Bombyx mori: one gene and its partners. The protein of the gene in region 3 purifies or fractionates together with the protein of the main gene of each other region. This does not show direct contact. Links are inferred from orthologs where the notes say so. Each region holds a gene or a part of one and is shown on either strand. Other genes may lie near its edges.

The links. The genes of interacting proteins can lie anywhere in the genome.
Region 1: the proteins of AP-2 complex subunit sigma (region 3) and epidermal growth factor receptor substrate 15-like 1 purify together in Homo sapiens (affinity purification with mass spectrometry; 4 studies listed by BioGRID and IntAct, counting the BioPlex papers as one, with this or other methods). This does not show direct contact. The link is inferred for Bombyx mori from reciprocal best matches to the Homo sapiens genes AP2S1 and EPS15L1.
Region 2: the proteins of AP-2 complex subunit sigma (region 3) and F-BAR domain only protein 2 purify together in Homo sapiens (co-immunoprecipitation; 3 studies listed by BioGRID and IntAct, counting the BioPlex papers as one, with this or other methods). This does not show direct contact. The link is inferred for Bombyx mori from reciprocal best matches to the Homo sapiens genes AP2S1 and FCHO2.

What each region holds. Positions count from the first base shown.
Region 1 is NC_085125.1:127,927-131,949, forward strand, and holds the start of epidermal growth factor receptor substrate 15-like 1, read right to left. Parts: upstream 2,801-4,023; 5' UTR 2,766-2,800; coding exon 2,739-2,765; intron 2,537-2,738; coding exon 2,489-2,536; intron 2,312-2,488; coding exon 2,267-2,311; intron 1-2,266.
Region 2 is NC_085116.1:2,412,224-2,416,394, forward strand, and holds the start of F-BAR domain only protein 2, read right to left. Parts: upstream 2,801-4,171; 5' UTR 2,742-2,800; coding exon 66-2,741; 3' UTR 1-65. Other genes in the region: SH3 domain-binding protein 5 homolog, read right to left, coding at 2,801-2,869. UniProt on the Homo sapiens protein: Functions in an early step of clathrin-mediated endocytosis. Has both a membrane binding/bending activity and the ability to recruit proteins essential to the formation of functional clathrin-coated pits.
Region 3 is NC_085131.1:681,798-685,784, reverse strand, and holds the start of AP-2 complex subunit sigma, read right to left. Parts: upstream 2,809-3,987; 5' UTR 2,629-2,808; coding exon 2,626-2,628; intron 2,549-2,625; coding exon 2,399-2,548; intron 983-2,398; coding exon 809-982; intron 1-808. UniProt on the Homo sapiens protein: Component of the adaptor protein complex 2 (AP-2). Adaptor protein complexes function in protein transport via transport vesicles in different membrane traffic pathways.

The DNA of each region.
Region 1 (4,023 bases), on a different chromosome or scaffold from region 3:
ATAAAGAATAAATTGCGTGGACAGAGATTTTCATCACCTGAAGAAGCTGTGGACGCCTACAAAACGGCCATTTTGGAGACGCCAACTTCCGAATGGAATGGTTGCTTCAATGATTGGTTCCATCGTATGGAAAAATGTGTCAAATTTCGCGGAGAATACTTCGAAAAGCAATAAATACATTTTTAAATAGTAATGTTGTGTCACTTCATTAATTCCCGAAATTTTCAGTGCCGCCTATGTATTCATGTTTGCATTTCCAATATTAGTAAGTACTGATTTAAAAAGCAAGAAAATACACTGAATAGAGCACATAAGGAACAATAAGGAAGTATTGCATCTGTAATTGAAGAAACCAACATGTTAGATCAGAGCCAGTTTAGAGCAACACATTTCCTGATCTGTTCTTGTTGTAATGTGCACACAGCCTCTAAGTTATTTAACTTACAATCAAGAATCCAACAGTACTGGCCTATGCTTATATCTAGCACTAGTATAAAAATTTTGTAAATCATAACTTTTTTTTATTACTTATGTAGGATACGGCCCATCTGATGATGAGTAGTTACTGTCGTTCCTAGACGTCAGCAATCCAGGGGCAGAGCCAAGCCGCTGCCTACGTTTTAATACTATCCACAAGCCTCATTTGAAGAAGGGCATATAGTGCTTGGGAAACACCATGGAAGGAAGCTCATTCCAAACCCTAGTGGTACATGGCAAAAAATTGTGTGGATGAACACATTGGCTCTAGTATGGATGAACTCTATATCGGTGGCGGGCGATGCGATGGTAAAAATGAAATTATGGGATCATCTCAAACAATTCCTCAGAGCACTCCGTGGAACATACAGTACAAAATCCGAACGGCTATATTCTGTATGGAGTCAACTGGAAGTAGCTGGTTAGGGCTACAGGAATATATTTATCAGAATTCTTAGTTACAAATTTTGACTTAAAGTTTGCTCAAAATAGATCTAATGCAAACCAACAAACGGCCAATGATGAAACAATTTGGAGAGAATTATTACCATATTTCATTCATTAAAGTAAAGAAGGGTTGAGATATAACTTATTTCACATTTGGGTACAAAATATTTGTTGCTGCAATGACCAAAAACACAACACTGAAATTTATCTGATTTCACATTTTTTATCACCTCTTGGCAATCACAACTAATCTTAAAATATACCATATATATCAAAGATACAAATTTCATTATCATATTTGATCTTACGTCTGAGATGGTATTTACTTTGTGCATTTTTATTGAATTGGTAGAGTAAGTAATCTATTCATTAATTTAAACAGAACTGATCTATCTTACAATGTTTACCACCAGTAATTCTGCAAGTTTGATTTCTAAGACAATGTTATTCTTTTACCACAAAAGTCATTTGTAAAGTGAACTCATTTTTAAGTACTTGTTTCCTCACAAAAATTGATGCCTGCCTGCAGGACTTCAATACTGGGTCAGTCACATGACTCAATATGAATTCACTGGGTGTCTTATACTTTAGGCCACAACAGCTTCATGTAGGTAAAGCTCAGCAAGATTTGAAGGAGGACAAAAGTGTCCAACGGCATAATTATAATTTAGTGAGATATAGCCTATTCAAATTACATACACACACTGTGACATAAAATGAGCCTACATAAATATACACATATGCCTATATTTTACACAATATGACATTTATCTTAGTGATCATAAGCTTGGAATAGCCACTCATGTGCTATTTCAGTGTACTGAAGGGTTCTTTGAGGAAGATTTAAATTTCAAAATAAACTCTACCAACAGTTATAAAATGAGCAAAACCAACTCAGCAAACATGTTAATCTATTTATATTTTAATTAATTTCTTTGCAATATCACTGTTCTAGTCATTGACATCTCTTTGAAAAATGATTTAACAACCAGAGGCAACTGAGTACCTGGAGGAAGTTAGTTGACGACCGGCTTTAAATTTATGGTTAAAATATTTATTCAGAACTGTTTATGAAAATAAAATACTTAAAGTTTCCTAATATCTCATCAGTGATTAGAGAATACAATATGTAATCTGATGGGTTTTTTAGATTGGTTAATAAATACAAAATTCCGTCTTTAAAATTTATCAGCTATAGTCGAATTATCTATGAGTTAAACTATGCATTTGTATACAAATGTACTCGTAGATCACTTAGGCAAGAGCAGGGTTGATGACAAATTTATTTAATATACCAAAATGACCAACAAGACATGTAAGTATGTATGAACTCTCCACTTACCTGATGATAGTAGGCTTCATATATCGTGCTGTGGGTCCCTGCCACCTGTAACGATTGAGTCCACATATTGACACCGTTTAGATCACCATAATATTTGTTTTCGACTTGTTTATATCACTTTTGAGGTGGCGTTACTTTTAATCGAGATATGTTTTAATTGTTAACATTTACTATTCAACCAACTAATTAAGAGGTTAATAAATTATTAAAGAGATTATTCACCATAACTGAGGCACAGTCTTTGACTACGAAATGGGCATTAAATGAACACTGTTGGGATAAATACGTCAATACATTAAATTCAAGCAAATAAATTTGTTTCTAACACGATCTTCACACTAAATTACTAAAACCGGTTATTTTTGGTAACCACACACTAAACTTTACTAAAACTGGACTCTTTAAATTGATTAATTAACTTCCTTTAAGCAATTTAATCAAAAACAACTCAGTAAATCTTATTAATTTCTACCTGGGTAGGAGACGGCAAGGCAGCCATTTTTTACATCTCCTCGTCGACCAATCAATATGCAGCCAGTCATAGACTAAGCTAAGTGAAGGAGTAAAGATTAAAGAAAGGAAATTGTACTTGGCACTGTCATGGAAGGTACTGACATAGGTCTATGACCATAATGACTGATAAATATTATTTACTTTCTGGCAGGAATATGAAATGTCAAGTTGCGTGAAATGATTTATTTTTCTGTTTTTCTTCAGGCATTATCGTCTAATTTTAACTATTAATTGCATTCTATATGTCGTTTAAAATGAAACATGTTGGAAAATTGAAACAAAATCTTCATCCAGCTTTTCGGATTCTTCCAAAATGCTTAACGAATCTCCCATTACTTCACTGATATTATTTAATTTATTTTCATCTCGTTTCATTGATTACAATGAGGTCGCCGAATTCCGGGTGTGAATAGTCCGGAGAGTTTGGACTCATAACAGATATTCTACTATTATGTTTTATTCTTTCTAACACATTTAAAACTGTACCTAATGAATGGACCTTCTCTCTCGCACACAAACTTCATGTTAGATGTAGAGAAAGTCAGTTTTTTGGATCTGGATCTCGGTTTTTTCGGACTGTTGATTCACCGAATTCCGGGTGCAGCAGTTGGCGTCAAAGTCGTCATTTTGAATGTTACTGTGCAAAGGTTAAACAAATTTCAGTGTTGACAACCAAAGAAAATCTATCAAAATTTAATCATTTCAACGTTGTGTTTTTTAAATTCCAAATACTCCCATTTCTACCAACACGAATTTATTTTATTAAGTCCAAACACAACCCTGTCAACCAGTGAGCACACTAGATCATCCATGCCAAAAAGTTTGAGCATTTGCAAGAGAGGACTGACCACTTGCTTGAGCAAAGTAACCATTTGTGGAGGTAATGGTCCAAGACTTCAACGCTCGTCATCAATAATGGTTGGAGTACCAATAAAACCATTGACCTCCCGAACCAGGCTACCTACGATTACGCCTTAGCCTACGGCCTCACCTAGCTGGGGCCAGCGCCATGACCACATCCCATTTACCGCACGGCGTACCTGCGCTCTAGCGCGCTGCATGGCAGCAGTTCCACGAAACTATTGTGTGAGAGCAACCGGTTGGTGGTATATTGCGTTCCTATTGGCTGGTTCTAGTCCAGCGGGATATTCCGGAACACCAGCACCACTGCCTGGGGTGGCCCGTCGGGCTACCGCACCGAGACGGCCGACGTAGAGTCGTCAACGATGGCCTCGTCGACCTAT
Region 2 (4,171 bases), on a different chromosome or scaffold from region 3:
ACGTGGATATATGACAACGAGAATTACATATACAAAAGCACACGCTCATGTCGAAATTGGACCAATTAGTTCATTTCGCTATCACAAATATATTTCCCAGACACGAAGCGACGTTTCACGAGCGACAAGCGGTACCCACCACCAATCAGTTCAAACTCTATCCCAGAGAGGGTGGCGCCTTCGCAATTAAACTGAGATGAGAGAGTGGCCTTGCTAGAGGGTCCCTTGTTCAGCTCGAAGCGCGCCCGCAGCGATCCTACGCCACGGTCCTCTGAATGTTGCGACAACTCGGTAAAACGCCATAACGCTTGTTCAGTTTCTTCATTCCAAATGTTTTTAGGCATTGCAATTACATTTTTAACAGAGCCATTCACAGGAACACACACAGACACATTCAAAAGTGGTGATGGAGGACTCATTGCATGCATATTGTACTTATAATCTACTTTCAGATCTGTGTGGTCCTTCTCACATTTCCAATAAGAAACCAGCTGAAATGGACATGAGGATGCTCCAGTTTTTGGTCTTATCTGATATTTTAATATATCTACATTGAAGTACTGTGCGGTGGGATTTTTTTCTGACTGTCGCTTCAATAATGAGGTCAAAGCAGGCATATTGAAATCTACAACAGTGGTATCACGTGTAGATGTTGATTGATTGATGGTAACCAACTGTTTATTTGGAAGTACTGTTTCTAATCTATGTATGTTTTTTAGTCTAAAACAAAGTTTTGCAGGGTTTGGATTGTTAGCAAGCACACCAACAATACCAGTGGGGAAAGAAAGCATCATGTCTCCAGACATCTTTACTTGACATTTTGATTCTTCTGTACCACGGAAATATGAATGAATTATTTCATGGAACGCAACTGCCAACGGTATAGTATCCGCCATGCCGATTGTAAGTGGGGAAGGACCACGGGAGCCTGTAGAACCTGCAGTTCGAAATTCTCCATCAGACCTTCTTGATGGTGGACGTGGGAGAGAAATAGTAGATATTGTTGGGGTGGATGTTCGAATATTGGATTGACTCATTTCACCTACTTCTGAGAATAAATCACCAACTTCAGTATTAGAAATGGGTGTGGGACTCTCAAACACATGTGACTGATTTCCTTGTAAAGGTGCATAAGGATTAGACACATTAGCTTGAGGTGATGTGGGATTACTGACAGTTGGGCTCGGGAAGAAGTCCAGGCCAACTAGGTCATTGCTTGCTTTGCTTGTATTCACATTAGAACCCCGACGTGTTGTGCCAATTTTGTACAAGGAGATATTTTCTACGGTAGCTCTGAGCTCATCTACACTAGCAGACATTGGAGCACTACCATTGGTTATAGGTTTAATCTCAACATGAATTTTCTGCTCCCTTTCCTCTTCAGAGTCAGAATCACTAGAAGAGTATACACTGCCTTTCTCTTCTTTTGGTCTTATACAAAAACCCTCCTCATCTACTTCAGGTGAATTTATCAGATCCTCCTTAATTGGTGTTTCCTCTTGTTTTTCCTCAAAATCAGACTTGTCAGCTGTTGAGTTCATAGAGTTATCATCCTTTTTCTTTTTAGATTTTTTTTGTTTTGGCTTAGTTCTTTTGCTACGTAAGAACCATTTGGACTCCCGCAAGGTGGTTCGACCCATGTTGTCCTCTTTATCTGGAGCTACCGGAATAGCTGGAGTTCCACTTGGGCTGGAAGGGGCAGAGCATGGTGCAGCACCTTCAATGTTGATAGTGGGTTCATCTTTGCTTTGGAAATTGGGAGTGAATAAATTAAGGAGTGAAGTAGTCCTCCTTGATGTTTTAGTAGCAAAAGATGGCTCTTTTTTGGGAGCTTTTCCTGGCTGCGTAGGTTTGTGAGAGCCATTAGAGACTGTAGATATCTGATCGGCTTCTGATATAGAGTTGTTAGCTGAACCGGGTTTTGGTAAAGTTGGGGGCAGCTCAACGAGAACTGCTTTTTCTATGGAAGTATATTTTTCTATCAAGAACTGTTCTAATAGTTTTTCAACAGTCAACTCTAGACACTGGTGCTTAAAGTCCCGATGCACCTGTCCCATCATATCGTGATTGTTTTGAATTATATCAGCATAAACATTAACAAACTGTTTCATTTGTTTTAAGTGTGCCTCCTCCACATCTTGAAAGTGCTTACATGTTTGAGACATTTTCTTTTCAAAATCTTGTTTTACAAGATTATACTTTTCAGCAAGCTGCCAATAGTCTTCATGTAATTTCTTCAATTTAACCTCAGCCTTTTCGAGGTCTTTAGCAGATGCATTATCCTTTCGGAGTTTTTCAAATTCAGCAGATTTTGTAGTATAGACATCTTTTGCTTTCTGAAGTGCCTGTTTAGTATTTTGTATCAGTAATACTACTTCTAAAGTACTAGATTCAGAGTCTTTGACAGCCTTATGTTTTTTATGTAATTCATCAGCATATCTCGCCACATCTTTGACCAATTCACCCACCTTCTGGAACATGTGCTGATGTAAATTAGATAGTTTCTCAGCTGAGCATTTGAGAACGCTCCAGAAGGGCGCGAATGTACCCTGTGCGCAGTTACCGTTCGCTTGTTTTGCTAGTTTAGCTAATGATTTTGAATTAGTCTCCTCAATATTGGACCTTTCCCTTAGATATTCGGAGAGCTCTTTACTTGCTATAAGTCCGTATTTCATGTTTTGATATAATATATCATATCCATTATGCTCGTTGGCGAAATAATCTACAAAGTTAACACTCATGTTTGCAGTTGCGAGATGCTACCGTTACAACTCAGAACATTATATTGTCACGCACTGACCTGGATCCTAGGGTCGAGCTCAGTATCGCCGTTGTCATCGGCTGGGATCGTGAAAGAGGATTCCTCCATTGCACTGCCTATGACTGCGAAGCCACCTAATCGTTTAAATTACATCACCGCACAATAGCGTGAAGCGTCACCTTCAAACACTTTCAACATGACAAACTAGTTATTGAAATTTAAATTCACAACAAAATTTAAGAAATGGTTTAAAATAAAAAAAAACACAAGATAACGGGTAAGTCGGGTAATGTTACGTGCTTTGTAACAAAATAAATAATAAAATAATTTTCTTGTGCAAGATGACGTCCTCCACCGTGACGTCGTATCACAACAATAGACAATCTCATACATTTTTTTCGATTTCTGCCCAGGTAGGTAGGTACTTGGTTAAGTTTTAAATGTCATGCCACCGTCCGTTAAGTAGCTGCTTCCCTCTTCAATACTGATATTGTAAAAGAATGCACGAACAATATACCAAGGCTCCAAAAGTTTACAGGATCTAATAAATTTAATGAAAAGCATTTTAACGTAACTTGACAACATCCTTTGATAAAAAAAATATAAATTGCCAATTGAATAATGAAGATATTTTGTCAAAATTAAAAATTATCAAAGGTATGTACTCAGTATTATCTTATTGGCAGATATCAACCATTTTAACTAAATCATATTTATTTCTTATTTCTTGAAATAAATACCAAAATAAGCGTAGAATGATTTGTAGACATGATATAAAGGATAAAACGCCCGGCATATTTTAATCGATTGAAACATCCGTACGGATGTTAAAATCCTGTAGGCAGATTCAAATTTTTCCAATGGAAAACGTACTGCACGTAGCCATGGGTGAACTGGCTTCCTTATCGAATAATTAACACACGTAATATGGGTGATTATTGATACTAGGACGCATTGTAAGCCCGCTCTGGTAAGTACTAATACACTTTATCTATTTTTGCCGCAAAGCAGTTATCGGGGTGACATTTAATTAAACCATTTACCTAATCTATCTCCTACAACCCGCCACGAATTGAGCGATGTAGGAAATTGCAGCCAATGTGATCTGCACGGCAGCCATTTTAATGTACAGCCAAAATTTTGCGGGGAGAAGATAGAATTGCAGAACGCTCTTCTTATTGAAATATCACGACAAGAAACAACGAAGAAAAACGTCCCACAGAAGCTGTTTGAAAGTGACTGGCCAAGCCCACACTGGAGAAATCGTTGACATGGTTATAATTGAGCCTATCTATCGCAATTTGATGAATCGGTGGTCATTGGTAGCGAGTGATAATAAATCAGCAGTTGAATTTGCATTTTCACAATTCGTTCTATTTAATTTTTTATGAAATAGACGATATTTCCTTT
Region 3 (3,987 bases):
AAGTTCGGTTTTCCTCCCGCTGTACAGGGAAGAAAGTGTAACTTTTCCTCCCTGGGTACTGACAAGTGCGCATGTGCGTTAGTGTCTACGTCTGCTCTCACGCACCTAAAATTCTTCGCCATTGTTGTGCTCGGGTAATTTGCAATATTGTGTTTAGTGTAAAAGTGAAATAAACAAAAGGCAATAAAATTTAATAGTGAAGTATTAAGCAAAGATGAGTTCATCAGACAGTTCTTATTCAATTAGTAGTAGTTTATTTAAAAAATAAAAAACAGGAATTGTTTTTTTTATGAGTGGGGGGCTCCGCCCCCCCACCCTCTCGCCAGGGCCTCGGCCCTGGAACTCGGTTCGGTACTCCACGGGTGCTAAGTTTTTTACAATGTCGAACTTTCGGCCTGGTAGGAAAAATAGTACATTGTGCACCAAGGGAGAAAAGTAGGGCATTTCCTCCCGCGTGTAAAATTGCCACCCGAGCCGAAGGCGTGTGTGGCAAACACGAGGGATGATCTAATCAATTACAATTTGCTCAAAGAAATTTTTATCAACTTTACAACTACAAAATACGAACAGAATCGAATTTAGCTTTAAACATATCAAAACATGCAAAATGTACCCTTTGATGACCACTTTACCCCAATCAACCTTGTCAAAAATAGGTACTTATAACATAAGCCACTTGAAATGTATTAACAACCCATCTTGATTTTAAAAATTTCTTTCTTTTATCTATTAAATATAACACAAAATAATTGACAGCAGTTTTAAGAATGTCCACATTAAATATAACAGTTTATGTATTTCCACTTACTTTATAAAAATTGAAGACCAAGTCCAACTCGCAAACATTATGGAAATATTCATTTAGGACCTCGACAAAGTTATGTATGGCCTCGAGATAACACAAATTGTTATCATTTACATCGACACATATACAGAAGTACAGACCTGCATACCTCCTGTATACTATCTTGAAATTTCTGAACTGTAAACAGAATAACATATCTTTGTATATCTATACTGTAGAAAAGAGATATTGTTGTATTGTATGAATTTCATATGAATAGTTTAATATTCAATAAAATTATTAAGCTATTGATAGGTATTATATTGATATTAAATATATAAGAATTCTCAAAACCAAGACAGACAGAAGTATTAGGAACTCCTCACAGGATAACTAATATTTTGCAATGTAATATATGTAACACATCTTTGACAAAATATAAACCCACTAGAACAACAAAAAATGTTTTCGGTTGATTAAAGGGTGTTATGTTATACCCAAAACAGTATAGAAATAATTAAATCCTGTATGTTACTGACATAATAGCACTCTTGTATAGATAGATATCTGACAGGTGTAATAGCAGCTTCAAAATGTGTATTGAAAATAATAAATTGAATAGTTGACACCAACACAGTTAACAGCAATATGAAAATTAAATAGAAAGAGTAAGTGGTAGACATTAGATTATTTTTAAACAAACATTGTAGCATCTTATAGGTAATTTTTTCAATTTTTATTTATAGGCTGATAGACAGCCCACCTGATGGTTAGTGGTTACTGTTACTCATTGACATGGATACAATGCCAGGATCACAACCAATTCACTGCCTATAGCTGAGTACTGAGAAAGATGTTACAGCACTCAAGCAACACTGAGAAGAGAAGTTAATTCCAAAGTTAGATGATATTTGGGAAAATATTCAAACTATTCCTCATTGTACTCCCATGGAATGCACAGTATAAAACAAGGACAACTGTAGTTCCCCCACAGTGCCTGTTTTCCAAGCGGTCAGACTGGGATTATCGTCAATCCAAACAGCCTTCTTCTGTATGTAGTCAATGGACATAGCTGATATTTGGGAGACTCAGCTCAAAGATAGGAGCAGTACTCCACACCAGACCAGACTTAGGGTGTTGTAAAGAAAAATTATGTATCCAGGCATGAAGTATTGCTTCTCAATGTTGAGGAATACCAGCAATTTTGATGCAAACTTATAGTCAAGAGTTTCCAAATATTTTCAACAAAACAACAATTACTGTACAGAATACAAATGAAAAAGAAGTTCTCAAAGATTCTCAGCTTGCTACTTTTTAGCATGTGTAGCATGCAAGGGAACTGTTCCAACCACTTCAAGCAGTAAAAAAAGCTGTTTTTGATTATATTATTAACCATCTCAGGGAGGAACGTAATTGACCCTAGTGACTCCTGTGCACACTCAATGCAATTATACATTTAATATTACTTTAACTATACTCTTTCATGTAGTCTTATATTGATTAGTATGATTTAATCTGTATTGTTTCCAAGTGACCAAGGATATCTTCAAGGAGTTATAGCAGACAGAAAGCTTTAGGCGGTCATTAATGATAAAATAGGCTTTATAAAGTTACCTCGACAAAGTTCGTGTGTTTCGCGTCTCTGACGGTGACGACTGCATGCACTTCTTCTATCAACTTCTGTTTTTCGTCATCATCAAAATTCATATACCATTTCGCAAGTCGAGTCTTGCCTGCTCGGTTCTGGATCAAAATGAATCTTATCTGGGAATTTAGAATAATTTTTAATTATTACACGCAAGTAATGAACTAAATAATATTTTTTTATGAGATAAGTATACCATTTTCACGTTTAGTTATGGCTTTTTTTTTAAATATTACTTTCAAAGACGGGTTGACGCCTCCTTTTTTTAAAACTAGTAATCAGAAATCTTTATCTGAAATTCAGTGATTTCAACTTTGACAGCTACAAAATTCAACCTTCTCCCATTCAGTGCACGGTATTATCTATGCTACCATCATACTTCTCAAATACTATGTGTATTATCTATAATCATACTAGCAGCAGTGTGAAAAATGTCAAGAAATCGTAGATAGACTAACCAGATACCTACTACATTTAAATGAAAGGGAAAACCTTGATAATCTTGAATTTAGTTGTATTTTATTACTTTGAGATATTCTCTTTGTTCTGTACGAACTTTTTATTTTATTGACTATTATGGAGGACTATCTTGAGTACTACTTGGTACGTAATCACAGTAAGCAATTGATAGCAAAGAATAAGCTATTAAGTAAAAAATTTGGTAGTTGCATTTACATTTTAATTTAGATATATTTGCGCAATGTTTTTTAAACTTTTATTCAAAGAAAATTACATCACGAGAAGATATATGTCTATGTAACTTCTCCAACGTAAAAGTGTCGAGTTTCTACTGGTAGCTTTTGGAACTAGTGGCAAAAAAACTTTTTATTTTGTAGACTTTAATAGATATGAACTAATCGGTCAATGAAGCCCGTTCTTGAGGAATTGAAACGTATTGGTATTAAATAAAAAAATATCAGTCAATCACAATTGCAATATTTACTAAAAATCTGTACATATATAAACTGTATAAAAATAGAGTTAAGCCTTATAAATAACTAGACATGCGCTAAAATGTGGATTGCATGCAATATTCAGATCGATCAAATTACTTCGAGGATAAAGTATTATTTTCCTAGAAGATTTGAAGATGAATTAAGGCATTACCCACGAAATATTTCGGAGTATCAACTTTTCATTTTTTTTTAATTACTTCGTTGGATAGCTGCGTTCACAGCCCACCTAGTGTTAAACGGTTACCGGAGCCCGTAAACTTCAACAACTCAAATGCCGCCACCCACCTTAAGACATGAGTTTGAAATCAGTTTTTACAATACAACGGCTGTCCCACTCTTCAAGCCGAAATTCATTATTGCTTCACGGTAGAAATAGTTAGTGCGGGCTCACAAGACGCCCTACCACCAGTAAATTATGTTTCATTTATCTTCTCTAATCTGTCCAGGCTACGCCTATTATTGTATTTTTTCGACCGTTCTTTAAATTTTTTTACTCTAGCAACAAAATTATCGAATTGTTTTTCAATTTTCCAGTAAAATTTTGACGTTGCTACAACTTGCTCGTTCATATCTAGTTTTACCAATGTAGAGCTTAAGGTTTT